7 linked regions of the Rattus norvegicus genome follow. The protein of the gene in region 4 interacts with the protein of the main gene of each other region in a biochemical or structural test. Links are inferred from orthologs where the notes say so. Each region holds a gene or a part of one and is shown on either strand. Other genes may lie near its edges.

Evidence for each region.
Region 1: the proteins of Kit (region 4) and Mpdz form a complex in vitro, tested with the Homo sapiens proteins (2 studies listed by BioGRID and IntAct, with this or other methods). The link is inferred for Rattus norvegicus from reciprocal best matches to the Homo sapiens genes KIT and MPDZ.
Region 2: the proteins of Kit (region 4) and Kitlg form a complex in vitro, tested with the Homo sapiens proteins (3 studies listed by BioGRID and IntAct, with this or other methods). The link is inferred for Rattus norvegicus from reciprocal best matches to the Homo sapiens genes KIT and KITLG.
Region 3: the proteins of Kit (region 4) and Yes1 form a complex in vitro, tested with the Homo sapiens proteins (2 studies listed by BioGRID and IntAct, with this or other methods). The link is inferred for Rattus norvegicus from reciprocal best matches to the Homo sapiens genes KIT and YES1.
Region 5: the proteins of Kit (region 4) and Src form a complex in vitro, tested with the Homo sapiens proteins (3 studies listed by BioGRID and IntAct, with this or other methods). The link is inferred for Rattus norvegicus from reciprocal best matches to the Homo sapiens genes KIT and SRC.
Region 6: the proteins of Kit (region 4) and Plcg1 form a complex in vitro, tested with the Homo sapiens proteins (3 studies listed by BioGRID and IntAct, with this or other methods). The link is inferred for Rattus norvegicus from reciprocal best matches to the Homo sapiens genes KIT and PLCG1.
Region 7: the proteins of Kit (region 4) and Matk form a complex in vitro, tested with the Homo sapiens proteins (2 studies listed by BioGRID). The link is inferred for Rattus norvegicus from reciprocal best matches to the Homo sapiens genes KIT and MATK.

The regions. Positions count from the first base shown.
Region 1 is NC_086023.1:100,814,063-100,816,504, forward strand, and holds part of Mpdz (multiple PDZ domain protein), read right to left. Parts: intron 2,212-2,442; coding exon 2,099-2,211; intron 1,373-2,098; coding exon 1,249-1,372; intron 1-1,248. UniProt on the Homo sapiens protein: Member of the NMDAR signaling complex that may play a role in control of AMPAR potentiation and synaptic plasticity in excitatory synapses. Promotes clustering of HT2RC at the cell surface.
Region 2 is NC_086025.1:36,781,334-36,785,459, forward strand, and holds the start of Kitlg (kit ligand isoform 1 precursor), read left to right. Parts: upstream 1-1,326; 5' UTR 1,327-1,500; coding exon 1,501-1,515; intron 1,516-4,126. UniProt on the Homo sapiens protein: Ligand for the receptor-type protein-tyrosine kinase KIT. Plays an essential role in the regulation of cell survival and proliferation, hematopoiesis, stem cell maintenance, gametogenesis, mast cell development, migration and function, and in melanogenesis.
Region 3 is NC_086027.1:120,684,860-120,688,359, reverse strand, and holds part of Yes1 (tyrosine-protein kinase Yes), read right to left. Parts: intron 3,370-3,500; coding exon 3,266-3,369; intron 3,175-3,265; coding exon 3,025-3,174; intron 1,052-3,024; coding exon 896-1,051; intron 734-895; coding exon 554-733; intron 1-553. UniProt on the Homo sapiens protein: Non-receptor protein tyrosine kinase that is involved in the regulation of cell growth and survival, apoptosis, cell-cell adhesion, cytoskeleton remodeling, and differentiation.
Region 4 is NC_086032.1:32,916,313-32,919,812, forward strand, and holds part of Kit (mast/stem cell growth factor receptor Kit precursor), read right to left. Parts: intron 2,279-3,500; coding exon 2,164-2,278; intron 585-2,163; coding exon 391-584; intron 1-390. UniProt on the Homo sapiens protein: Tyrosine-protein kinase that acts as a cell-surface receptor for the cytokine KITLG/SCF and plays an essential role in the regulation of cell survival and proliferation, hematopoiesis, stem cell maintenance, gametogenesis, mast cell development, migration and function, and in melanogenesis.
Region 5 is NC_086021.1:166,543,341-166,547,487, reverse strand, and holds the start of Src (proto-oncogene tyrosine-protein kinase Src), read right to left. Parts: upstream 2,801-4,147; coding exon 2,551-2,800; intron 1,395-2,550; coding exon 1,295-1,394; intron 1,085-1,294; coding exon 1,067-1,084; intron 1-1,066. UniProt on the Homo sapiens protein: Non-receptor protein tyrosine kinase which is activated following engagement of many different classes of cellular receptors including immune response receptors, integrins and other adhesion receptors, receptor protein tyrosine kinases, G protein-coupled receptors as well as cytokine receptors.
Region 6 is NC_086021.1:169,829,299-169,832,798, forward strand, and holds part of Plcg1 (1-phosphatidylinositol 4,5-bisphosphate phosphodiesterase gamma-1), read left to right. Parts: intron 1-132; coding exon 133-236; intron 237-458; coding exon 459-555; intron 556-798; coding exon 799-868; intron 869-1,563; coding exon 1,564-1,721; intron 1,722-2,965; coding exon 2,966-3,062; intron 3,063-3,193; coding exon 3,194-3,418; intron 3,419-3,495; coding exon 3,496-3,500. UniProt on the Homo sapiens protein: Mediates the production of the second messenger molecules diacylglycerol (DAG) and inositol 1,4,5-trisphosphate (IP3). Plays an important role in the regulation of intracellular signaling cascades.
Region 7 is NC_086025.1:9,109,947-9,114,025, forward strand, and holds the start of Matk (megakaryocyte-associated tyrosine-protein kinase), read right to left. Parts: upstream 2,801-4,079; 5' UTR 2,750-2,800; intron 2,713-2,749; exon of another isoform or gene 2,424-2,712; intron 2,245-2,423; 5' UTR 2,194-2,244; coding exon 2,185-2,193; intron 1,636-2,184; coding exon 1,522-1,635; intron 1,427-1,521; coding exon 1,311-1,426; intron 1,225-1,310; coding exon 1,005-1,224; intron 745-1,004; coding exon 651-744; intron 1-650.

The sequences.
Region 1 (2,442 bases), on a different chromosome or scaffold from region 4:
ATCCTTTCTACGCTTTGCAAGGAAAGCCTGCTCAAGCCGTCTTGGTTTTTACTACAAGGGAAAAGAGATTCTTCTTATTCCTATAGGCCCTAAATAATTATGATTAAACACAGACATCACTATTTAAAAAAGAACTCCATCTAAGGCACGCACATAGACGATAATTATGCAATTAAATATAAGATTAAAAATATGGAAAAGTTAATGAGGAGAGTATAATGATGAAATTCTTAAAATATGTTCTAACTAGCAAGCCTGAAATAAATTGTTCCTAGGCCGAGGGAAAGGATTGCATGGTGCTTCTATTCATTGGCAAATGCTGTCTGTATTTTTGGATATACCAATAACTTTAAAAAAAAATCTCACAAATTAAGCCTACAGCTAGTTTGCCACGGAACAGCACTTTAAATTGGTTGAAAATAGTAGTATTTTTCTAAAATAATAGGAACTTCCATAAAATCAAGGGCCATAGAATTTAAAGAGACCGAACGAAGTCTCTGTAGGCCTGATGTTCACTCCACTATTTTGTGCTGTAAAATGTTAGATTCTTAGTTTTCTTCTGCAGGAAACATTATTCAATTTTGTAGTCTTCGAAAATAGGTCTTAATAACACATTATCAACCATTATATGCATTTCTATTATTTTAATGACTTCATCAAAACTACGGTCTCTTTATTCTTATTCTAAACATTCCCAAGATAGTTTAGTAGATGACTACAACTATATACAGAGCTTTCTTTTCCAAAGTAATTGAATTCCTTGATTGCAAATAATGCTTTATTGTAGACAGCAGGTCTGCTCACCACTCTTCAAATGTATAAACACCCTAGTCATGATGTGAGATTAATTCTGTGTATTTTTCAGTACCTACTTTAGGTTTCACAACTATAAAGGAACACAGGGGAAAGCGTGCCAGTCCTCGACAGTAGACATTTTATGCAAGTCCATTTTCCAAAGATAATCGTATGTGACTTGCTATTAAATGGAAAGGACAGGCTTCATTGATTATGTCATGTATATTGCTGAGAGTTTCCATGGAGTTACAATTTGAACTAGTTTTCTCTAAACATAATGAAACCTCAAACAGGACAAAAATATTTAATGACCTGTTCCTGCAGGGATTTCAAAAGAAAATATCAGTGTTAACCATTTGGCATCACCTCAGGCCATAAACTAATAAGCCAGCTGCTGACCAGTGTTAATTAATGTTTAGTAAGGAACAGAGTGGTTAACAACTGCAAGCTTACCTTTGCGAACACTGTTTTAACATAAATTGGTAAGTCTCCATGAGGGCTGCCATAGCCACCTACAATGCTGAAGCCTAAGCCATCTGGTCCTCGGTCTAGTGTTATGGTCTTAGACTGTGGAGGGCTACAGAAAAGGAAAGGAGAAAAAAGGTTTCCCAACTGAATGTGCACACGCATATGTATGCATGTGCGCACAAACACCCCCACCCCAACCCTTGGCTCTGTGCTTTACCTGACTCAGACTATAGCTAGCATATTCTGCATTTACAGATAAGGAAGATGCTATTTATTACATGTTCTCATGGCACAGAAACTCTCATTCTCATTTTTTCCAGCTTATTGTGAGGGGATGAAAGTTCAAAGGGCCATAATGCAAGGTCATAAACAATAGTTTCAACTTCAGACAGGAAAGTCAATTGTGAACAAAATGAGGGCAGCATCAAATAACTTGAAAATTTAAATGTCTCTCTTTACTTTTCATCTTTCCCAATGCTTTTATATTTAGTGTTATTTTCTAATATATTCAGTATTTTCAATCAAAGTTCAATGAACAAGAGCAAGAAAATATCCTCTCAAAAATATCAAAACTGAAAATTCAGGAAGTGTGGTAGGGTGAATAGCTGTCTGTAGTCTATTCATCTCTTACTAGGTAACTGTTTATACTCGAGGCAGTTCTGACCAGGCAGTGGTCTGTAACCCACCCATCTGACTAGCTGACTAGAAGCATTGACACTCTCTACTTTATATGCCCTCTCCATTTATTTTACCTCAGTGTGAGTGCCCGGAACATGGGACAGAGACTGCAACTGTCTCAAGGAATAAATGACACACCCGATAATGTATTGCTCACCCTAAGTCATCCGGAAATATAGTGCTGGAAGTCAGCCCAGTGAAAGCAAGGCAAGGATTGGCAAGCTCTTGCTGATGACCCGTGACCACACTCACATCTCCTCCAGCAACCACCTGTGTGTGGGCACAGTGAGAGGAGGAAACGCATGTTCACCTAACCCAAGAGATCCCAAAAGACCACTCCAAAGAAAAACTTAGATTAAAATGAGAGTTTTTACTGACTGACTACTTAAACACAGAAATGATTAAAACATTATTGAAAAGAAAGAAACTTCACAATGCCCAGGAACCTCAGATATCCAAAATTAAGTTCTATAATTTTCTTTGTTTTCTAATCATGGCTTC
Region 2 (4,126 bases), on a different chromosome or scaffold from region 4:
ACTTTGGCTTATTAACTTTTTTTTTTAAACAATGGCAACTGGGCTAATTAATAATCAAAGCAAATTTGGAATAGTCCTCTCTTATAAGAATGACTGGACAGTATGCTTGTTCCAAAAAATTACTGATGGGGGTTTCAGGCTAATATATTTCTTACAAAAATAACAAAGTGCTTTGCTTTTTAAAAAAATTATTCCTCAATTACATGTAAAAATGTTGAAGGGTTTTGGGAACAAGAACGATATATATATTATTTTTAATTAATTAATTTTTTTTAGGGCAGTAGGATCTGGATTTGAACTCTGCTACTTGACTATTTGGGGAAATTAACCTCTTAGGGCTATTTCTTAATCTGTAAAATGGAAAAGACACACACACTCGTGGACACACACACACACACACACACACACACACACACACACGGGAGGGGAGGGATAGAAACACACACCAGGCTCTACACACTAGGCCCATGGAAAAGAGATAATGCATGAATAGTTCTTGCACAACACCTAGTATGTAATAAAAGATACATCGCTTAAGCGTGTGAGCTATTACCATGAACATTCCATTCTTTCCGATTTTACAGACTTTCCTAACCTAAAAGTGGAACTTCCAAAACCCTTGCTGTGAGAACCCATACATTTAGTGACCTATGTTTTCCAAAGGTACTGTAGTAAACTGTTGAAAACTGCATCTCCCTCAGTAATATTTGATTCTGAGTCAATTATTTTCTCACTAAAGTAATAGAGGAGAAACAAAAGGAAAAAGGAAAGGAAGGAAGGGAAGGAAGGGAAGTAGAAAGAAAAGGAAAGAAAAACTGGCTAAGACAATGGCTAAACCATGGAGTGTAATTAAACTTTTTGTTGTTGGTTCTATTTCCCCGAGGCGGGGTAGAAGAAAAGTCTTTGCTCAGAACCAAGTGAAGTCCTCCCCGCCGCACCGCTCCAGAGCTGGGACCCTCTCCAGAGCGCACAGTACAACGCGGGTCCCCGGACAGTACTGGGTGAGCCTGCTAAGGAGCTGGGACTCTCGGAGCCCAGCGCGCGGCGCGGGCGGCTACTGCAGGTTGTTCAGCGGCATCGGAGACACCCGGTGCCTCATGGACTCTGGCCAGTACCCAGACAGGGGACGCACCAGGCTCGATCGGTCCAACCTCTGGGACAATCCCCGCCCTTCAGCGCGCTCCCGGGTCTCCCAGCCTAGGCTCAGCGCGCAGCTTGCCTCCCGGAGGCTCCGGAAGGGAAGGAGGCGTGTCCGGAGCGGGCGGGCGGGCTCTGTATAAAAAGCGCTGGCGGCGCAGCAGCCCGGGCTTCATTTGCTGTCTGTCACCGGGACTGAGAGTGCCGCGGGAAAGCAACGGCCAAGGACGGGGCGCTGCGCTCGAGCTACCCAATGCTGGGACTATCTGCAGCCGCTGCTCGTGCAATATGCTGGAGCTCCAGAACAGCTAAACGGAGTCGCCACACCGCTGCCTGGGCTGGATCGCAGCGCTGCCTTTCCTTATGAAGAAGACACAAGTGAGTAGGGCACGCCCGGGAGGAGCTCGGAGGCTTTCCAAGAAAATCACTCCCGGAGCCCCGGGGAGCCCGGCGCACCCTGGGACCGGCAACCGGGCCATGTGGGGCTGCGCCCGCCCGGTGAGCCAGGAGGGTGTGGGAGAGGCAGGCGTGGTGTGCGAGCCGGAGCCGCCGCCCCGGGGGTGAGCCCGGGAGCTGGGGAGAGCCAGGGCTGAGAGTGAGCCTGTGGCAAGTTTGCAGCCGCAGCTGCAAAGTTTGAAGCTGTCAGTGGCAAACCGCAGATGCAGGCTTCCCTCTTCGGCCTGGGGGTTCGAGTTATCACGGGGAAGGCTTGTTTTTTTGGGGCCGGAGGTCTCTCCCTGTGGATTCGGGTAGATTATGAAACAGCTTCCCACGCGCTACCCTCGCTCGCTCGCTCGCTCTCACAGTCAGATTTATCTGTGCAGTCCCCAGGTGGGCGCGGGACGCGGTGCGGACGCGGGTGCAGCCGCTGGAGCGAAGCCAACCCAGAACTCCTAGGCGGCAGCGCCAGGCGGGGTGCAGAACCTGCCCAGCAGGCGGGGGAAACTTGGCAGCCTGCGGTGTCGGCCGGGTTCACAGCTCTGGGTGGGCCCTCCAGAAAGCTCTAGATGGAGTAGTAGTACTTCCACACTGCATGACACCCCCTTCCATTACAAAACAGTAAAAGTTCTTTTCTTCTTTCTTCTTCTTCTTCTTCTTCTTCTTCTTCTTCTTCTTCTTCTTCTTCTTCTTCTTCTTCTTCTTCTTCTTCTTCTTCTTCTTCTTCTTCTTCTTCTCCTCCTCCTCCTCCTCCTCCTCCTCCTCCTCCTCCTCCTCCTCCTCCTCCTCCTCCTCCTCCTCCTCCTCCTCTTCTTCTTCTTCCTTCTTTTTTTTAAATGTGCATCTCCTAAGGATAGTTATTGAGATAATGTCCAGGGTCTCTAAATTGCGCTTTATGCATAAAACACAGCCCGGGGGTACAATTATGTCTTTTCTTCGTTGACGGCGGAGGGGGCGTAGAAAGAGCCTCTGTAGTAATCTTGTTCTCTTCTACAGTTCTTTTTAGCCTCGTGGTTGCTATCTCTTCAAGATTCTTCCTTTCCGAATTTGTTCTGTCATCCGCAGCAGGTTGGGTAAAGCTGCTCTTTCACACACACACACACACACACACACACACACACACACACACACACCCACACACACCCGCCCCCAATTCTATAGTTGATTGAAATCTCTGAAATGTGTAGAAGGGGATGGGATTCGAGGGTTTGTGCTCTTTTTCAGCATAGATGAAGATATCAATGTGCTGCCAGTAATTTATTAAATTGCTCATAGGACGTCTTATTTTAAATAGATATCTAGCCTGGGATCCGACCCTTTAGGAAACAGCAAGAATAAAGCACCTTTCCCTGGCTTAGAAACGAATAAGGGAAGCAGTATGGCCTGCCTGTCACCCTGGAGGTGCTCTTCTTAGAACACTTGCCCTGAGTGGGGCTCAGGGGAAAGCAGGTATCCGCCCCTGCGTGCAGGTCAGTTTTTACCCAAAGCATCCCACCTGAGATCCTGCTCTTGAGATGAGGATGTTAAGAATTGCAACAAAGAAAAGTTTCGCCCTGATTGCTTGGTGTGTACATGCCTTCTGTTTGGTAGAATAATAAACAAGGGTGGGGTAGCTATTCCTTTTTTTTTTTTTTTAAAGTAGCATCCGCTTACATGAATAATGGTGGCTGCTCTGAGTGTGGCAGCCCCCGACACAGGAAGAGAGTCCGAGCCTTCTTATTTAAACAAGAAAACAGGAGACAGACAAGGTTAATGTCCAACAGTCAAAGCAGAGCTGTGCGCTGTGGAGTCACTTTGAGAGTCAGTAGGATTGATGTTCCCTGCGCCCTCTTTGCAAAACAAGCGAGAGCCCTGTAATCTCTTTTCTCGCTTTGATTAAATGGCTGTGTAAATAGGATTACATGGAATAATTCCATTGAAAACTAGAAAGAGGTCGATCTAGCCCGAAACGCTGTGGCGGTGGCCGTGGCGGCAGTGACTCAGTGCTGCCGACCAGAGATATTTGAGACAGTTAAGTATTTTAGAAATGTGACCTGTTTGGACCAAGTTAAAGTGCAGGCCCTTTGGGGGGGACATGCTGCTGATAAAGGGTTTGTAGGCAAAAAGAGGGCGGTGCTTTCATTGAATGGAAGCATTCATTGTCTGGAATCTAATGACCTTCAAGGTTTCCTTTAAGGATACTTCTAGCAATTCACATTCTTGTCCCTGAAAGAGAGGGCTCTGGAAATGACTTAAAATCAATAAAATAATCCCTTCTAATGAAGGAGGGGATTAGATTCTCTTTACTATTGTCAAATCTCCTGATCCAAGAGCCAAAAAGAAATGTTCTGTGCCACCCTGAATGTGTAGAGAGAGAGAGAGCATGGTGTAAGGGAACTGGACACTAAGAAAACGATCCAGGCTTTTGGCTTCTTTAATCTGATGTTATCTTAGCCTGGGAGGAAAATCTATTGTTATTAAATAGCCTACTGTAAATATGGGATCGATACCAACTTCCCTTATTGCACCCCCACCCCCATTCAATATACTCTCTTTACCCAATAAATAAAAA
Region 3 (3,500 bases), on a different chromosome or scaffold from region 4:
CTCTCCATCAAGGCTCAGGGCTCTATTCAAGTGCCAGAAGTGGTAGATGACTCCAGGATAACAGCATTTTCTAGACACAGCAAGTCTGATACATATAGGAACTCACAAACACACACACATATATAGCATGCACAATACCTGCAGAGTTCACACCGATAAATCCTAGCACAGAAAAGGCAAAGCACATGGTTCAACTCCTAACCAAGAGCCTATTTGCAATTGACAACTGCTGAGAAAGGGGAAAATCAGTTTTTCCAATGGAGAGACACTGGGTATATCAAAAACACCCCAGAGAAGGTTGCATGCTCAGGAACAGTTGGGCAACACAAAATGAACTCCATGTTTTTGTTTTTAATTTTGTGTTGGGTTTGTCTTCATACTTTTTTGTCTGTCTTTCTAAGAGAAGGAATATAAAGTTTGGTGGGTGGGTGGGTTGAATGGGGATCTGAGAAAAAATATGATATGACTAAGATATATTGTATGTTTTTTTATCTAAGATTAAAATTGTTTCATTGTAACACAATCCTTTAAAAAACGATTCATATGTACATACCTTTTGACATAAACTCAGTGACAATATAAATTGGCTCTTCAGAAACAACTGCATAGAGCGGAACAAGTTTATCGTGTCTTAATTTTTTCATTATCTGAGCTTCTTGAAGGAATGCTTCTGGCATCATTGTACCTGGCTTTAGTGTTTTGATTGCTACTTTTGTGGTTCCATTCCATGTTCCTAGAAAGAACAATTTATTTTACTCTTTCAATCTGTATTTTAAGGAATTTTAGATCAAAATGTAATCAACAATAAAAGTTGTATTATATAATAAAATATTTTGCTATTTTAACTTATGGCCATATAACAAAATGAAGTAACAACAAAGCTTGGGCTTCTTACCCATCCACACTTCACCAAAGCATCCTTGACCTAGTTTAACCTCGAGTCGCAAAGACTCTCGAGGGATTTCCCAAGCGTCTTTTGCGAGACCTTGAGTCTGCGGTTTCACAGTTGGACAGACGGTTGTTAATTTGTGGCATAATCCATCAGCATGTTCTAGATAGATAAAAGGGTACACTGCAAATGAATCACTTTCTAAGACAAATAGAACATTAGTGTCTGTAATCATATGATGATTTTTATTTGATCAATCTTTGAGATAGATCTCACTATGTAGCCTTGGCTGGCCTGGATTGAACTCAGAGATTTACCTGCTTCTAGGATTAAAGGTATATGCCACCATATTTGGCTTATTATTTGTTTTTCTTTAAAAGCTCGTCATTAAATTTAAATCAGTCTCCTATCAGTATTATTCTAAAAAGATATATAACATGGGAAGCTTTCAATAGAAGATGGAGTATATATAAATGAAACTTTAGAAATATATTTTATGCTAATATTTATTGAGTATGTATGCTTATGTTATTATGTCAGTCAGCACTACATAAATCTTTCATATAAATTGAGATTGGAAAAGCTAAGAGAACTGTCTCAAGGTCCCTGCTAGTAAATAAGAACATTCAAACACAAGTCTGTCTGCTTCCAAAACTCCACTCTGCTTTTTGGCAGGTAGTAGGGTATCTGAGAGTTGAATTCAGATTCTTCCTGCCTTAGCCTTCTAAGTGAGGGAATTACAGGCCTGCACCACAGCTTAAAATGCTTTTGACCATTAAGATTCATGTATTCCCCCAGGGAGATGCATTATTAGTTGTTATTTATAATAACCACTAATTCGTAAAACTCTGAAAATCAAGGAAGAAGTTGATATAAGAGTTTGAATTTTAAATAAAGGAGACCTGAAGGCAGCCAGTCCAGATTCAAAATGGCTTGGTTTGTGTATCCTGCTTATATAAAACCTCTCATTGTAAATGAGACACATTTCCTCCCATTCTCATCAAGTAACCACTTAAATCCTTTATAACAAAGGCAATTACAAGTAATGCTAGCTTAACAACACTTTCAATCAATGGCAAACTTGTTGATTGACTTGATAGTTTGTTTGCTGCTAGCTGTCACAGAAGAATTGCCATGGAAACCTCCCCTCTAATTATTTAAAAATTTTCAGATGCACTTACATATCTAATTGACAATGAAAAATTTTAAGACCCAGGACTCCAGAATAGAATTCAAAAGACATTCTATAGATAAGAATGTCTATAGTTGCTATAAGTTCATTTTTTCTTTGGTAAGAAATAGCATCTTCAAATTGGATTTGGTAGGGTTTATATTTTAGAAGGTATTAATAGATTCAGCTTCTACAGAAGGAAATCAAAGAAGGCATTTGAGGGCTTATGACTCTATTCTTTCTTTTCCTTTTAGCAGTGCTGGAGAAGAAACTTCTGCACACATAATTAAGTGCTTTACCACTGAGCTACAATTTCAGGTCTGAGAAAGCTTTTTTATACTACAAGTTTAAGGTTTAATTTTAGCTACTTAGTGTACAAAAATAAAGTGTCTGTTGTCATGTTTTTTAATTTATTGTCACAATCTATCTTAGCATTTATATATTATGATCTAGAACTCCAATGTAAATACCATGCCAGGAAGACATAACAATTTCAATAACAGTTTGATTTGCGCATGCTATCCTATAACCCAATTCAGTTTCCAGGTATCATCATTATTTATTTCTCTGAGTCAGGGTCCTGCTCTACCACCTGGGCAAGATGCAAGTCTTGTTCCTCATTTTGAAACTAGAGCACAGCACCAGCAAGATGGCTCAGCTAGTACCTGTGGTCAAGCCTGACAACTTAAGTTTCATCCACAGAACCCACATAGGATGAGGAGAGAACTGACTCATTGTCACCTAACCTTCACATATGTACCATAGCATGTGTGCGTACGTACACACAGTCACATTATACACAAATAATTTTCAAAAACAAAACAAAACAAAAACCCAACCCAGAATACCAACATTTATTGGGCATTTACTGTGTGTAGATATAAATGAGATTAAAGTTTGATAAACTTGTCTTCATAAAATAGAACATAAAGGATTAATTCCTACCTCTGAAGTGTTCACTAACCTGTGTAATGCTTCACCAGTTTCTGTAGAGTATCAAACTGAGCTCTGGTCGTGATGTAGTATCCACCGTTGTCAAGTTTTCTGATTTTGTAATGCTTCACATTGTCACCCCTTACCTCATCCCAATCACGAATTGAGAGGGAATAAGCACCTGCGGAGAAAGTGGGAATGAACACATTCATTCCAGTTTCCTTGAACTACGGTTAATGAATTCCATGCACATATTAATATGATACTCATACCTTTAGTAGTTTCACTTTCTCTTACTAAGAATATACCTCGCTGATTCCCAGGATTCAGAAGTAATCTTTCAGCATCTTTTCTCCCCATTTTGCCAAAATACCATCTAAAAAAAAGATTTGGAAAGATTTGAGGGTAAGAAAAATTATATACTTGTATCAATAAGAATGGTATATGATAGCTGGGCAGTGGAGGTGCACAACTTAATTCTAGCACTTGGGAGGCAGAGGCAGGTAG
Region 4 (3,500 bases):
ACCCAGGGCCTTGCGCTTCCTAGGCAAGCGCTCTACCACTGAGCTAAATCCCCAGCCCCGAATTTAACAATTTCTAATGTGTCCTAATTATACTGGTGCATAAGGTAGGGAAGCTCCCCTACCCAACTATAATTGTGCATCTATTACTCCTAGTCAGGAAGTGCATACAAACACACGGAGACCAGGGAAAGAAAAATGGTTAAGATTGCATCGGTAAAGGCAAAACCTTCACCAGCAGATTAATATGGAACGAGTCTGTGAGTTCGATAGCAGCACGATATGATGCTAGCACAACCAGAGATGATATGACCAATATTGGAATGGATGTAAGATTATGGTATGGTGGACAGAGCCTAAACACCCCTTAAATTGGATTAAAAGGAAATATACCTTTGCTGTTACCTTTAAATGCAAAGTTAAAGAAGGCAGAGCTCTTGCCCACAGCGTTGGAGGCCTTACACTCCACCGTGCCGTTGTGCCGGAAGACGCTGGAGTCTATGGAACTCTGAACCACCAGTTTTCCAAATGGTGACACAGACGCATTCTGGATCTGTACGTCTACTGGCGGGACAGGAACGGTACACCTACAACAAGAGGACGACGACAGTGTGGGCTTATGCCAGGAAGTCAAATGAAGGCCTGGCACCTTGATGGCAAAGCTAGAAACTCAGACTCCCCGCCATACCTACCGACCAGGACGGCCTGAGGAGAGACAAACCCCTTGGGGCCCTGTGAGCGAGGAAGGCACTGCAGAAGAGTGGAAGGAGGAAGTGAGGTTTAGGGGTTGGATGTGGACTTCTATCCTCACTCTTAGGGACTTCTACCAGGTTCTGTGAATTCTCCAGGGTTAGGTTTTTATGGCTGTACCATCTTCAAGAGACTCAAAAATGGCTGCCAGCAACCGATGCTGCCAGGCCAGATTCTCAGAAAGGATGTGTGATGGCTGAAGATGGAGAGGTCGGAGGAGGAAATTGGAAGAAATCAACAAGAAGGAAGACAAGAAAGACTCAAAAGGAGGAGCCCAGGGTCCATGTTGGAAGTGGTCCCATCGTGTGGCGGTGGCCACTCTGGCTGCAGGGTCTTCTCTTTGAGAGACAGTCCCGAAACCCCTCTTTTCCCATTGTCTTTGAAACACCTACACACGTCAGTTCGCCCTGTCTGCTGTCTCTCTCCAGCCATAAAATACAGATCCAGCAAGACAGAGGCGTGGGCACAGCCTCGCATGGTGCATGCTACCCCAACATTTGGCACACGGTTCGTTTCCACTTAAACACTCTGCTGAGCAGGAGAGATAATACACTCAGGCCAGGCCACAGAGGGCACGATGTTCAGAGTTCTTATGCCTTCTTTATTGTTCCCTCAAACCAAACGATCTGCTAAAACCCACACTAAAACAATCATTCGATACAATCAGTCCTGATATGTTGTCATAAAACATCTTCAGTGAAAAATAAGATTTCCACTACTATTTATGAGGCCAACCTAAGTCTTTTAAGGCTGGAGTATAACATGGTGTTTTATGGGTAAAAAAAAAAAAAAAAAAAAAACGGCAACGCTGACCCCATTTCCATCCTCAGGTAATTCGAGAGGACAATTTAAGGCTTAAGTGTGGACTTCAAGGGAAAAGCCACACAGTGGCAGATGCTCCTTGTTTCGGGGGCTGGGCACCTAATCAAGGAGAAACACTTTTGCGAACCCACTGCTCACAAATGCCATATGTGTGTTGTAATTGTGCGATCATTACTTTTTGGTTACTTGGCAATTAACTTCTGAGGTAATTTTTTTTCATGATAACTGCAGCCACATTTCCCACACACACTACCTCCTGTGTATAGAATGGAAATCTAATTACTCTGTCCTGGGAAATTGCTTTATCTACCTGCGGGCTAGAAATTGCATGATAAACCCAAAAAGATAAACCACCAAAATAGAGAAGTCACTCAGTAATCATTTTTCAGCAAACAAAAATTAATGTCGACCAGGAAAAGTATAGCCATTATCCCTTCTTAAGAAGCCACTCAGATATAGGAGGGAAAAAAATAATCAAAAGACAGTCTTTTATTCTAAAAAATAAATAGCAAGTCTGAAAACACATTTGAAATTCAAGCGAATTATAGCCCTTCCCTTCTGCATTTTAAGCAGTGCCAAAAATAATCTTCTCACCTTTGCTCTGCCCCTGTACAAAAATACCAATCTATTGTGGGCTCCGGGAATCCCGCCGCCACACACTGGAGCCTGCCATTCATGAGCCTGTCATATGTCAGGATTTCTGGTTTTGCTGCAGGAAGAGAAATAGCCACGTCAGTCGGCTGAACAACCACGGCATGATTCTTCTCCATTTTCTCTCTCTTCCCATCCCTAGACCATCCAGAAGCAGCTGAGGAACCCGAGGGACTTGCTAGACACCCAGAGGTGGCACGAGGGGTCAGTGGGTATGCTGTGCGGCCTTGCCCGGATCCTCCCCATCCACCTCAAGGTATAAGGATCCCAAGGAACTCTGTAGCCCAGAGCCTGCAAGACCAGCCTGGCTAGTTTCTGCCTCAGGTCCAAATCAGCTTTCTTAACGTGGACTCCTTGCCCATAAGTCTTCAAGCCACCCTACCTGCTCCAACACCTCATGTTGCTATAGGGACTGGAATGGATGAAATTAGATGCTATTGCAGAAAAACAGAAGCTATGCACTCCTTTCAGGCAGTGCAAGAGGTGGTGCTGAGAAGACCTGGATTGTCATACTTACAGGAAAGCTAGACCACGACAGTGAGAGGCAGTGGGAGAGGCTAAACCTTCATTTCCCTCAAAGCACACACAGAAAAGGAGGCCGAGATGAGCCCCAGAGTCCCGTTCATACATTTATCTACAGCCTGGGTATAATCAGCAAAAACATAAATTGTGCCAGCAGGAAGACTCTAATTCGACAGCCCTGTGTAGCTACAATAATCAATTGATATTCGACGATCTCGAATTCTGGAAATTGCTCCTGAAGTGAAAGCAAGGTGAACGTCTAGTGCCCGGTTCTAGTGGCACTGTAGTACTCCAAGGCTTCTGGTCCTTTGAGGATGAGTGCACTTAGCGGTGGGCATTGTGCGGACAGAGATGGGAAGCGTGGGTGAACGAATCGCTGCAGGAACCAGCAAGGCAGGTGTGAGGTGGACAATCCAACTGGTGAAGCTTCCAAATCCCTCTCCTCACTCTAGTTCTTCATTTATAGGAAGGGAACAACGGCTTCCGTCTGACAGGATGTTGGTTAAGCAACAGGGACGGAGCAAGCAAAGAACTAGAGCGGGGGAGGGGCTTTACCCAGCAGGTAAAGCCGACTGCCACCAATTCTGACTATCTAAGTTTGATTCCAGACACCCAACTAGAGAGAGAACTGACTCTCACTAGTTGTCCGTTAACCTCCCCATGTGCATGCTGTGGTACACACTGCCCCCCATACACACGAATAAATACAACACGAAGGTTTTTAAAAGCATCAAGATTGACTCACAGATGAATGACAC
Region 5 (4,147 bases), on a different chromosome or scaffold from region 4:
AGCACCAGGGTCACACCGCTTCTCCTCCTGGCCACCAATTCTATCAACAGCTGGGGACATGGGGACTCAGGGGCTTCCCATGAGGATGGAAGGAGCGCTGGCCACTGAAGGAGGTACTGAGGAGGCCCCTCCCCAGGTGCCAGTCCAGAGAAAGGAGAGCAGGCTCCATTCTGGGCTTACTACTTGGCAGTCACGTGACCTCTGACAAGGGCCTTCATGACTCTGAGCCTCAGTTTCCTCGTTCACAAACTAGAGCAGCCCCTCCCCCGTCACTGCTGCCCCCAAGACCAGTGATAACAAGATGGAGGGGTATGAATGAGAGTGGCCAGAACAGCACATGGCACCTGCTTGCAGGGAGGGCAGCCCTACCCTGGATCTTGAGGGGTGAATAGGAGTTCACCAGGTGGATACAGGAGAAGAAATATTTCAGGCAAACGGAGTAGCATGCACAAGGATCAGGAGGTATGAGCACCGAGACACGCATAGGGAAATGGAAAACCCACCTCTTTAGCCAGGACTTGGGAGCACTCTCTGACGGATCCTCTCTACCCTCCAGAACAGCTCAGATCAAAGTCCCCAAGCCTTACCTGCTCCAGGGAGAGGTCCTCAGCCCAGCACAGACCATCAGCTGCCCCCCTCCCAGGGAGACTGCCCACCCTTACCTGCAGTAGCTTACTGTCCTTCCTTGGATGGGCAGTCCGATAGAGACAGCCCCCTCTCTCAGGGTCATCTTGCAGGGACCCCAGACTGCTCCTACCCACCCCTGGCCTAGTCTGGGGTAACCCATTCCCCACCACACTGCCTCCCTCCCTGGCCTCCAGAATACACTGGGTCCTGCAAGTAGCTGGCACCCAGTCATGGAATCACACACCAGAAGAGGGAGGAAGAGAGCTAACGGGAAGGTGTGGGGAGAAAATGGAGGGTCGGATCAAACAGGTGGGATGCAGGATAAGCTAAAAGGACAGGGAGAGAGCTGGAGACACACAGGGGTAGTGGAGGAAGCACATGCAGAGAGCAGTCCCCAGCCTCAGCGAAGCATCCCCCTCTACCTGGCCTCGGTACACACCTGACATCCACCTTCCTCCTAAGGGCCAGCGAGAGAGAAGCAGAGAGAAGGAGAGGCTGAGGTGCGAAGACAGGACCCAGGACAAGGGAGGAGACTAGTCGGGGTCTAGGGAGGACCACCACCCACCAACTGCAGAAGCAGCCCTGTAGGCTCTGCACCGCCCTCTGCCGGCAGCTCTGGGTATAGATGGACCCACGCTCCCAGTGCAGTCCCCGTCCATCCACTCACGTGTTATTGACAATCTGCAGCCGCTCCCCTTTCTTGAAGGACAGGTCAGTCTCTGTCCGTGACTCATAGTCATAGAGGGCCACAAAGGTAGTCACCCCACCTGCAGAGTGGGATGGGAGGTGTCAGAACCCTGCAGGGGGTGGGCGTGGGAGGCTGCCTTTCTCACTCACCAGCCTGTCCCTGAGAGGGAGCTAAGTAGCCTGTGCCTCCCTGCCGGGCTGCAGACTAGGTGCTCCTTATCTGATATGTCTACTGACACAAGCAGAAGCCCCAGAGAACAGGTTCCCTTGCTCTGCACTCAGACCCAGCACACAATAGGTGCCCTAAGCCCCGCCTATATGTGTGCCTGGCAACTTAAGGCTTTGGTGCAAAGCTTCAGGACTCTTCTCCTGATTCTCCCCTCACCCACGGCTGCTCCTTGGACTCCTGCAGCCCACCCTCCGTTGCCCAAGGCTCCACAAACGCCTCTCAAATGGTCGAATGGGTGTGTGGCTGCATGGCAGGGAGTGGGCAGCCTGTCCAAGGGTCTGTGGTGGGATGTGGGGCTGGGAACCTTAGCCCATGTCTGCTTTCTGCGTGCAAGCAGGCGCACAGGCCCACCTGAGGGGGCGAGGTTGTATGCACACCTGTGTCTGTGTGTGCTCCGCACTGCAGGCGTCTAGCCTAGGTGTGTCTCTAGGAACACTGGGGGCCTTTTGTTGTTGTTGTCGTCTCCACTCAGTGCGAGGACATGCCCAATGTGGGCACATAGCATGGCTGAGTCTGGGTGGGATCTGAACGAGTGGGTGTGCAGCCGTGCGTGTGGCTGAGTCCGAGTGCGGGATTTGCACGCACGGGTGTGCAGCCGTGAGTATGGCTCCGTCAGAGCGTGGGATTTGCTCGTGTGGGTGTAGCCATGTATGCAGGAGCATGAGTCACCCTGCTCAGCCCCTGGGCGGCAGGGTTGCCGCACCACGCAGCGCCAGCAGAGGGCGCAGGGGCGCACTCGGGCCACCACACAACAGAGCCAGGAACAAAGGCTGGGCGGGAGGTGGCAGCTAGTCCATGGTGGTCCTTCTCCTCCGGGTCTCGGGGTCCCCTACAACCCTCTCCTTCGGAACCCGTTATACTCTGAATCTGGCATCCCCAAAGCGGCAGGAGCCCCGCTTTCCAGTTTACGAGCCCTTCTCCATTCGCAGCCTCTGGAAAACCAAGTCCCCAGAACCCAGAAAGGGTGCACCACAGCTCTGGGACACTCAGCAAGGAGGAGGGCCTACCTGCCAGAGGCCCCGCCCTTTGTGGGGAGGTGACAGTGTCCGAGGAGTTGAAGCCTCCGAAGAGCTTGGGCTCGGCGGCCGCGGGGGGCACAAAGGCGGCATTGGGCCCGCGGTGGCCATCGGCGGAGGCAGGCTTGCTTGGTGTCTGTGAGGCAGGGAAGGCGCCACCTGCCCCATGCACGTTCTCCGCGGGCTCCAGGCTGCGGCGCCTCTGGCTGGCGTCCTTGGGCTTGCTCTTGTTGCTGCCCATGGTCCTGGCTGGGGGCGACAGAAATCCCCCAGGTAGAGGAGAGATCTGGGAACAGACAAGACACCCTACCCACTAAACAGATAGGCAGACTAAGGTCCTGAGAAGGGGACCCTGCCACCCTGGGAGAGTTCGTCTCACAGTTTCACCTGTAAAATGAGATGTTGGCGCCTTAGGACACAGCTACAGATAGAAGACATATATACCAGTCCAAAGCCCTGGGTCCAGCAGGACCCAAAGTCAGCTTTAGTCTTTCATAGGCAGGGACACGAGTCATATCTGTGTCCCCAGCACATAGGAGGGACTCATTTAAGTTTTGCTGAATGAATACATGTCTGACAAGTTGTCTAACACTGGGGGAAAGGTGTTAAAAGTGTTAATTGAAGCAGCAGTATAGTGGCTTGAAGAGGAGATGGCCAGGCCTTCCAGCCACAAGACCTTTGCAAATTCCCTGACAACTTCCCCTCCTGTGATGGTTTGTATATGCTTGGCCCAGGGATCAGCACTATTAGAAAGTGTGGCCCTGTTGGAGTAGGTGTGTTACTGTGGGTGTGGGCTATAAGACCCTCATCCTAGGTGCCTGGAAGCCAGTATTCCGCCAGCAGCCTTCAGATGAAGATGTAGAACTCTCAGTTTCTCCTGCACCATGCCTATCTAGATGCTGCCATGTTCCCACCTTGATGATAATGGACTGAACCTGTGAATATGTAAGCCGGCTCCGATTAAATGATTAAATGTTGTCCTTATGAGAGTTGCTTTGGTTGTGGTGTCTGTTCACAGCAGTATAACCCTTACTAAGACATCTCCCCAATCAGTTTACTTCAACTCTCAGCTCAAAGTCACTTCCTGGGTTGGGGAGATGGCTCAGCAGGTAAAGGCACCTATCATAAACCCTGCTGACCTCAGTTCAGTCCCCAGAACCCACATGGTGGAGAGAGAGATGGGAGAAAGGGTCCTGCAAGCTGTCCTCTGACGTCTGACCTTCACACATTCGTGGTTCACATACATGCCTTCCCATAAGCGCACAGAAGAAAGGAAGAAGGGAGAGAGGGAGGGAGGGAGGGAGGGAAGGAGGGAGGGAGGGAGGGAAGGAAGAGCAAGCAACAAAAATGTTTCAAGTCATATCCTTTAGAAGGGGGTCTCCAAATCCTTTCAGGAGCCCCCAGACTACTGTACCAGCCTTGGCTATATGTAACCCCCTCTCCTTTTAATTCCTGGTGCGCACAGAGTGAGGTACACAGCAGGTGCTTAATAAACAACCAAATGAAAGATGAAAGGGAGAGAAAGTTTGAGAGGTCCTGAGACCTCGACACAGAGGGACCAAGCAGAAGGCTTCATGGCACCCAATGC
Region 6 (3,500 bases), on a different chromosome or scaffold from region 4:
ATTGAGAACTGTGTCTAGGGTTACTTGCCAACAGTAGTGCTTCCCATGTATGTACATGTGCTGTACGGGGTCGAGTGACGGGGCATGCCCCTCCGCTTTACTCCACACGGCCCCATTGTCTTACCTCTGCAGTGTGCAGTAAAAGCTCTCTTCGACTACAAGGCCCAGAGAGAGGATGAGCTGACTTTTACCAAGAGCGCCATCATCCAGAATGTGGAAAAGCAAGATGGTGGCTGGTAAGATAGGCGGTCCAGGCTAGAGAGCCTGTGGTGTGGTGGTACAGGAGTCCAGGGCCCCTGTGGAGCTGGCACTGAAAGCCCTTGTGACAGATGCTTTGAGCATTTGTCTCCTGTTCACGAGCAGTGTTTGCCTTGGCTTGCCTTATGTGTGGGAATCCCCCAAGAAGATCTTGAGAGTTCGGGGTGGGTGCTGGAGTCAGTGCCCTGTGGCTTCCACAGGTGGCGTGGGGACTATGGTGGGAAGAAGCAGCTGTGGTTCCCCTCAAACTATGTGGAAGAGATGATCAATCCAGCAATCCTAGAGCCGGAGAGGGAGGTATGTCTGCAAACACACAGTGTCACAGGTTTGTTTCCCTGACCCCAGGTTCTCTTTTGATGTGTCTATCACACCCAGGCCTTCCTGTCATCTGTGAGCCACACATCCTGTGTGGCCACACTCTAGTCTCTATTGTACGTATGTCATGCTTGGCTGGTCGTGAATATACCAAAGATAGTCAAAAATCCCCTCAGTTGAGCACGCAGCAGCCAGCTGACCATCCTGTGGTTTTGCCTCCTACAGCATCTGGATGAGAACAGCCCACTGGGGGACTTGCTGCGAGGGGTCTTAGATGTGCCAGCCTGCCAGATCGGTGAGCTCCAGTTCCTAGCCCGTGATTCCTCTTAGTGTCAGGGTGTCCTTGTGACTCTGTCTGCTCCTGGAGAGGAAGCCAGTGGCTGAGTCTCCAGAGGCTACTCTTCCACTCTGGAAATCGCAGACTCCTTTGTCATCTGTAAATTTTACTCTGTGCCAGGTACAATGGAGTCAAAAGTTGGCAGAGACCCCGACAAGCTGACATCCAGTCCTAATGGTTTAGACCACAGGGTTGGGACAGGAGCTTGGAGATGGGTTAGGGTGGGGGTTACAAAACATGGCTCCATGGAAGAGGTATGAGTCAGATGGGTTGGAGCCTTGGCTGCACCACAGCCACTACGGTATATATGTCTGACAGCAGACTCCTCTGTGGACTGGAGCTGTGTACCAGTTTTGCCTGTTTGTAAGTACCGCTAGGAAGAAACGGAACGAATTCCTTTGAGCTAGTGTCTAGGGCAGTGCTTCTCAGCCTGTGCATTTCAACCCCTTTGGAGGCCTAACAACCCTTTCACGGGGTCTGCATATCAGATATTTACATTATGATTTATAAATGTAGCAAAATTATGAAGTAGCAATGAAATGGTTTATGGTTGGGGGGTCACCACAGCATGAGGAACTATATTGAAGGGTTCACAGCATCAGAAAGAACAAAATGAGAGCATTCTTAGCCCTGTATTATTTTACCCCCAACAGCCATTCGTCCTGAGGGCAAAAACAACCGGCTCTTCGTCTTCTCCATCAGCATGCCGTCAGTGGCTCAGTGGTCCCTAGACGTTGCCGCTGACTCACAGGAGGAGTTGCAGGACTGGGTGAAAAAGATCCGTGAAGTTGCCCAGACTGCAGATGCCAGGGTGAGAACCTGCCAGAGCTTAGAAGGTGCTGCTGCAGTCTTTGAGGGCACTCGTGGGCCTGCCCAGGAGCCAAGGCCTCCAACTCCCCGGCTAGCTCCTCTAGCGAGGGTAACTGATGTGGCCTGGCCTTAGATAAGGTGCCCAGAAGAACAGACTCAAGACAGGATTGTGATGGATGGACTTAGGAAATGTTGAACATTAAATACTGTGGATCACCTGAAAGAGTAAAGGCCAGAGCTAAGAGAAGAGGGGTCCTGGGCTGGCAGCAGGAGTGGAATCAGGCTTAGAAGAGATGAGATGGTAAAGGTAAGAAGAGGGTTTAGGGAAACATTTGTAACAGGGTGGGGGTCTGGGACAGGAGGCAGAGAAGTTGCAGATACCCACCCACAGCAGTGGAGCTTGGCTAGCTGAGGGCCACAGAGGTGTGGTAAGAATGCTGTCCATTGGCTTTAGCAAAGCAGCAGATACTCCTAGTGACACAACTGAGGTCTCTTAGTGGCATGACAAGGTTGGATGGCAGTGGGTCCTAGGGAGTTTAGAGTGACTAGCATGAAGAGCTGGGAGCTGGCCTTGGTGGAGAGTAGGTAGCTTGCATTGTTGGAGGAGACCTCTTCCATTGAGCCTGGTGGAGCATTGCAGACGTGTAGGAACCTCTACTTAGAGGCTGTGCCCCAGTGCATTTGGTGAGCAGATTTGTGACTAGAGGATTTTGTTAGTGTGTCCTGGAGGGCAGGGTACTGAAAGATACAGGGGCTGAAGGGCTAGATCCTCCAAGAGGTGTGTGGGGAGTGTCTGAGTAGGCTGCAGCTAAGGTCAGGGATAGTAGAGGAAGGTTGTGTTAGCCATGGAGGACATGAGGTGGTAAGATCGTCTAAGGCACACATTGCCAAGTGGGCCTAAGGCCTTAAGGAATCAGGAAGCATTGTTTTTGCTGAAGGATGAGGCTAGGTAAAGAATAATCAGAAAGCATTACTGGGAAAGCCTTGCCCACCTTCGCTCCATGTGAGGTCATTTGGGACATTAAGTTATGGTGGGGGAACAAGTGTATCTGTGGAGACAAAGGAAAAGATATTTTTTTTTGGATGAAACTGGCAGCCAGTAGTTTTGTTTACTGTCTGCTGGTATTTAAAATGTGCAAGGAGAGGAGAGGGCCTCAGAACATCTGAAGTGAATGTGTACCCAAGGCTGGCAGGAGCTTCCTTCTCCTGGGCAGGGCTCAGCCTGGGCCTTGTGTGTGTCTCCAGCTTACTGAGGGGAAGATGATGGAGAGGAGGAAGAAGATCGCCTTGGAGCTCTCCGAGCTCGTGGTCTACTGCCGGCCTGTTCCCTTTGACGAAGAGAGTAAGGCTGGGTCCAGGTGTGGTGTGCATGCGCCGAGGGGCTGGGGGTGTGAGAGTGGTGTTTAATGCCCTCTCCCTTACATACACTGCACAAGGGGGCCGCTCTATACATGCTCTCACTGTTTGGCTCAGAGATTGGCACAGAACGCGCTTGTTACCGGGACATGTCCTCCTTTCCGGAAACCAAGGCTGAGAAGTATGTGAACAAGGCCAAAGGCAAGAAGTTCCTCCAGTACAACCGGCTGCAGCTCTCTCGCATCTACCCTAAGGGTCAGAGGCTGGACTCCTCCAATTATGACCCTCTGCCCATGTGGATCTGTGGCAGCCAGCTTGTAGCTCTCAATTTTCAGACCCCAGGTGAGGGGATCCTCTGTGGGTGGGGAGAGACACTTAGGGCAGTTCCGCTAGAATGTACTGTAATCCCACTCTTCCAGACAAG
Region 7 (4,079 bases), on a different chromosome or scaffold from region 4:
CAGCTTGCATTCAGTGAGACTTGGAGAGCTGACATCCATCCCCACAGCTGTGCACACCTGAGCATGTGCCTGCCCCAGCAGCTGCACTAAGGCTGTCTGAAGGACACCCCACTCCTGGTACCGTTTAAATCCTGCAAGCCAGAGCTGCCCTGGCTTCCATCAGAGTACAATCCCCCTAGGTCTCCTAGGTCCCCTAGACATGAGCCATGGCTCCAGGACCTCCCTCTGGGGACAAGAAGTGTGGCTGCCCTTGTGGCCTTCCATGCCTCTGGGAGGACCTTTTTTCCCCTTGCTGATCCACACAGAATAAAAGTTCTAGAATCTTCCAGGGCTGTAGTCTCCCTAATCTTGTACTCTGCACAGACCTGCAGTTGTCTCTGAAAGCCCTCCCTTTTTCCCTCCTTCCCTCCCTCTCAAAGACCTCTAGCCCCCACCCTGCCCCCACGCTGAAAATTCAAACGCGACAGACAGCTCTCTCCACTGTGATTTTTGTCTCTGGGACTCCAGACCCCACTGGAAAAGTGTGACAGGGTTGCAAGGTGCAAGGGCTTAACCAAGCCAGGGCTGGGGCATGAGGGTGGGAGTCCGGGAGGTGGGAGTCTCCCTGGTGTGCACGCAGAAGCTACCTATCGCAGGAGCAGTGCTCATACCCTTGGCGAGCTCTTCCTCTGCGGACTTTGCGCCCTGTTTCCTCTTGGGCTTCACCAGCTTGGTGCAGATGGCGCCCTTGTCCCTGGTGTAGTGCTGTGGAAGCCGGCGGCCATGAGCCTCTGGCTCTCAGATCCCATTTCCACTACCCCCAACCCAAACTCCATGAGGTTGGCAGACTCCCCTGAGTGCCAGGCTAAGGTGAGCACGTTCCCATGGCAACAGTGTGGGGTGTTAGAATGGAAGCTGAGGGCGCCCTGGGGAGGTGACCCCAGTTCTAAAGACAGAAATGACAGCTGCTGGGGCCCACCATCCACATTTCCACCCCTCCCGCCCCAGCCTCCCCCACAGGTCACCTCTACCATGTCCATCAGATTACAGAAACACACGGCCTCATCAATGGTGAGGTGCCCATCTCGATGCAAGACACGGTAGTGGATGACATCACGGCCGAAACTGACACACAGGACATAGTCACCAGGGTGACGGGCCGATTCCCTCACGAGGAACAGCCCATCCTCGGGTGGCTGCAGCTGCTGTATGGCTTCCTGACCGGAAATCTTGCCATGGAACCATCTGTGGGGATGTGTGGGGAGGGTGCTGTGTGAGGCCACCGTGGAAGGTGGCTGGGGCCTTCATGCCACCCCCAGGGTGTCACTCACGGCATGAGGCTGAGCTTGGGGTCTGTGGAAAGGGCCTCCCTCTGTCGCAGAGCAGCAGCCGCCAGCAGCCCTTCCTGCCCACTGCTGTGGTGCTTGGCTCGGTACCAGCTCTTGTCCTGCACAGGAAGGGGACAGGTGGAGGGAAGGAGCCAGTGGATGTCTGCCCTGGCGCCCCTAAGGCACACCACCTACCCTCCAGCCCCCCTCTCACCTCACAGGCCTCCAAGATGGTCACCATGTCACCCTTTCGAAAGGCTAGCTCACCGGGCTTGGGGCGTGAGTTCTCGCACTTGGTCATACATTGAGTCCCAGGGGCCCAGCGTTGCTGGGAAGGAGACAGAGGCGGGGGGTGGGGTGGGGATAGGGGGATGTCAGGGACCTACTGCGGGACAAGTGGGAAACCTGAGAGACCTGAAAAAAAGCTGGGGCTGGTGGGGACAGAAGACAGGACAAGGGAACAGTGAAGACACAAGCCTGTAGGAAGCTATCAAGTGGCTCAGGCAGGAGGAGTTCCAGACCAGCTAAAGGACAGCCTGGGCTACAGTGAGACTTGGTCTCAAAAACTAACGGAAGATGCCTGGCGTGGTGATGGACACTTGTAATCCTAGAATCAGGGTGGGTTGGGGGATGACAGGGCAGGGGTAAGTGAACCTCTGTGAGTTTGAGACTAGCCTGGGCTACGCATCAAATCCCAAGCACACCTACATACTGAGACCCTGTCTCAGAAGTCAAATAAGATAAAGGGAAGTCTGGGGAAGGAAGGGAGGGCGTAGGGAAACAGCCACAGAGGCCAGTATGGCGGGGTCCTTGGGGACTGTAGGGGGCATGTCCTATTCTCCCCAAAAGGTCCGGTGACTCAGGGCCCCACACTCACCGTTGGCATCTTAGCTGCAGCAGGCGTGGGGTGCCAAGCTCCTTAGAATTGAGGGTTCACCTGTGAAGGGAGGCAGTCTCATGCTGGGAGTGTCCCCAGGTCCAGTTCCTTCCTCAGGGTCTGGCCTGGCCTGGCGGAGGTAGCAGCCAGGAAGCAAAGTGCCTCCCTCAGATCACCGCTTGGATAGCTTAGGTGTGGAGCCCCTCTGCAGCCCTTGGCTTTAGGGAAGTGATCTTTACCCGAGGAAGATCCTTAGACTCCCGGCCACCAAAGGCCAGCCAGGAGACTCGGGAACCTCGCCCTGCCTTTGCTCGGGAAGGGAAACTGAGGTAGGAGTGGAGTGCTCTGGTGTCCCGAGTGGAAGCCAGGGCCGTGTGTGAGGAAGAGCTGGGCCTGTGGCTTCCTCTTTCCTGGGCTGTGGGCAGAGGCGGTGGGCAGGGGCCGTGACTCAAGGTCATTCTTGAAAATCTGACCCTGAGCGGAGCCTGGAGAGGCCGGATTCCTGTAAGGCTCCAGGCTCCTTAGGTCACCACGGGTCACTAAAGAAACATCTGAGAGGACCCACCCCATCCCAGTGCGGCACCGCAGGACTGTGGCTGCCTGGGTCCCTGGCTGGTGGCTGGCAGGGGGCAGGGCGGGAGGTTGGGGTGCGCTCCTGGCCTCGGGCTCAATGGGGTTTGCACGGCAGCCGCGCAGGCGGAGGCGCACGTGCATCCAGGCACAGGTGCCACCAGCCACCCCCGTGTGCGCCACACGGGCGCCAGCGAGACCCGTGCACCTGTGCGCGTGCCTCAGGCGCACAAGGGCTTTGCAGTGACCACCGGGGCTCGCGCACTCAGAGACGCGCACGCCGCACCCAGGAAAAACAAAATAAAACAAAAAAACCAGCCCGTTGCACCCGACGCTCCTGGGTCCAGGACCGTTTCGAAGTGGTGTCCCCTTTCCACCCACGCACACGCGCTCACCTGCTTAGGGCGCGACCCCTGGAGGGTCCCTGCCAGCCGGCCGAGCGCCCTGGTGGCTCAACTCCGAGCAACTTGCAAGGCTTCCTCATTTTGGGGCAAGGATGGAGGGGACCGGCTCGGAGCCCCTGCGGGTCCTAGCGCCGGCCTCTCTACGGCCGCGCTGCCACCTCCTCCCGCTCCTCCTCCCACTCCGTCCGGGCGGGGTGCTGCTGAGTGCCGGGTGCTCTCGGGTCCCCGCTGAGTCCTAGCCTTCCGTTGCCCACCCCGGGAAAGCTGGGAGCTTGGAACGGCTCGGGCACGCGCAGATGCTATGAGTAGGAAAGAGCTCCCTGTCTGGGGAGGCGAACAAGGCAGGCTGCAGCCTGGTCAGTCTGTACTTTCAGAAACATCAGCCAGTCTGCTGTGGAGCACTCCCAGCACTCGGGAAGCAGAGGCAGGAGGATCTCTGTGAGCTGGAGCCTAGCCTGGGCTACAATAGAGAGCTACCTAGTGAGACCTTGCCTCAAAAAAAAAAAATAAAGCAAATAAAACCTAACTAATTAATTAAGCACAAGTTTGGACAGAGGTGCCTGGCCCCGGTGGACATGACACTCCGAGAAGCCACACCAGAAGCTATAAGTCCCCAGGCAGGTACCACTTAGGAATCCTTGGCCAGGGAGGCCCAGAGACTTGGAGCAAGGCTGGCTGAAGTTCCACTTTTCACTACCCCTATTGCTGATGACAGTGTCTGAGTCACAGCCTCCCTCCCTGCTGCAGTCAGCCTACCGCAGTGCCCACCACCCACACTGCAGGGGCAGATGCCCCACTACAGGGGACAGTAGTGACCCAAGTGTTCTGCAGTGATCAGCTGCTGTCTGACTGGACCTGGCTCGCCTGTGAGACCTCCTGCTGTTGTCTTACCAGTGCACCTTGTGCACAAGTTTGTTCTAC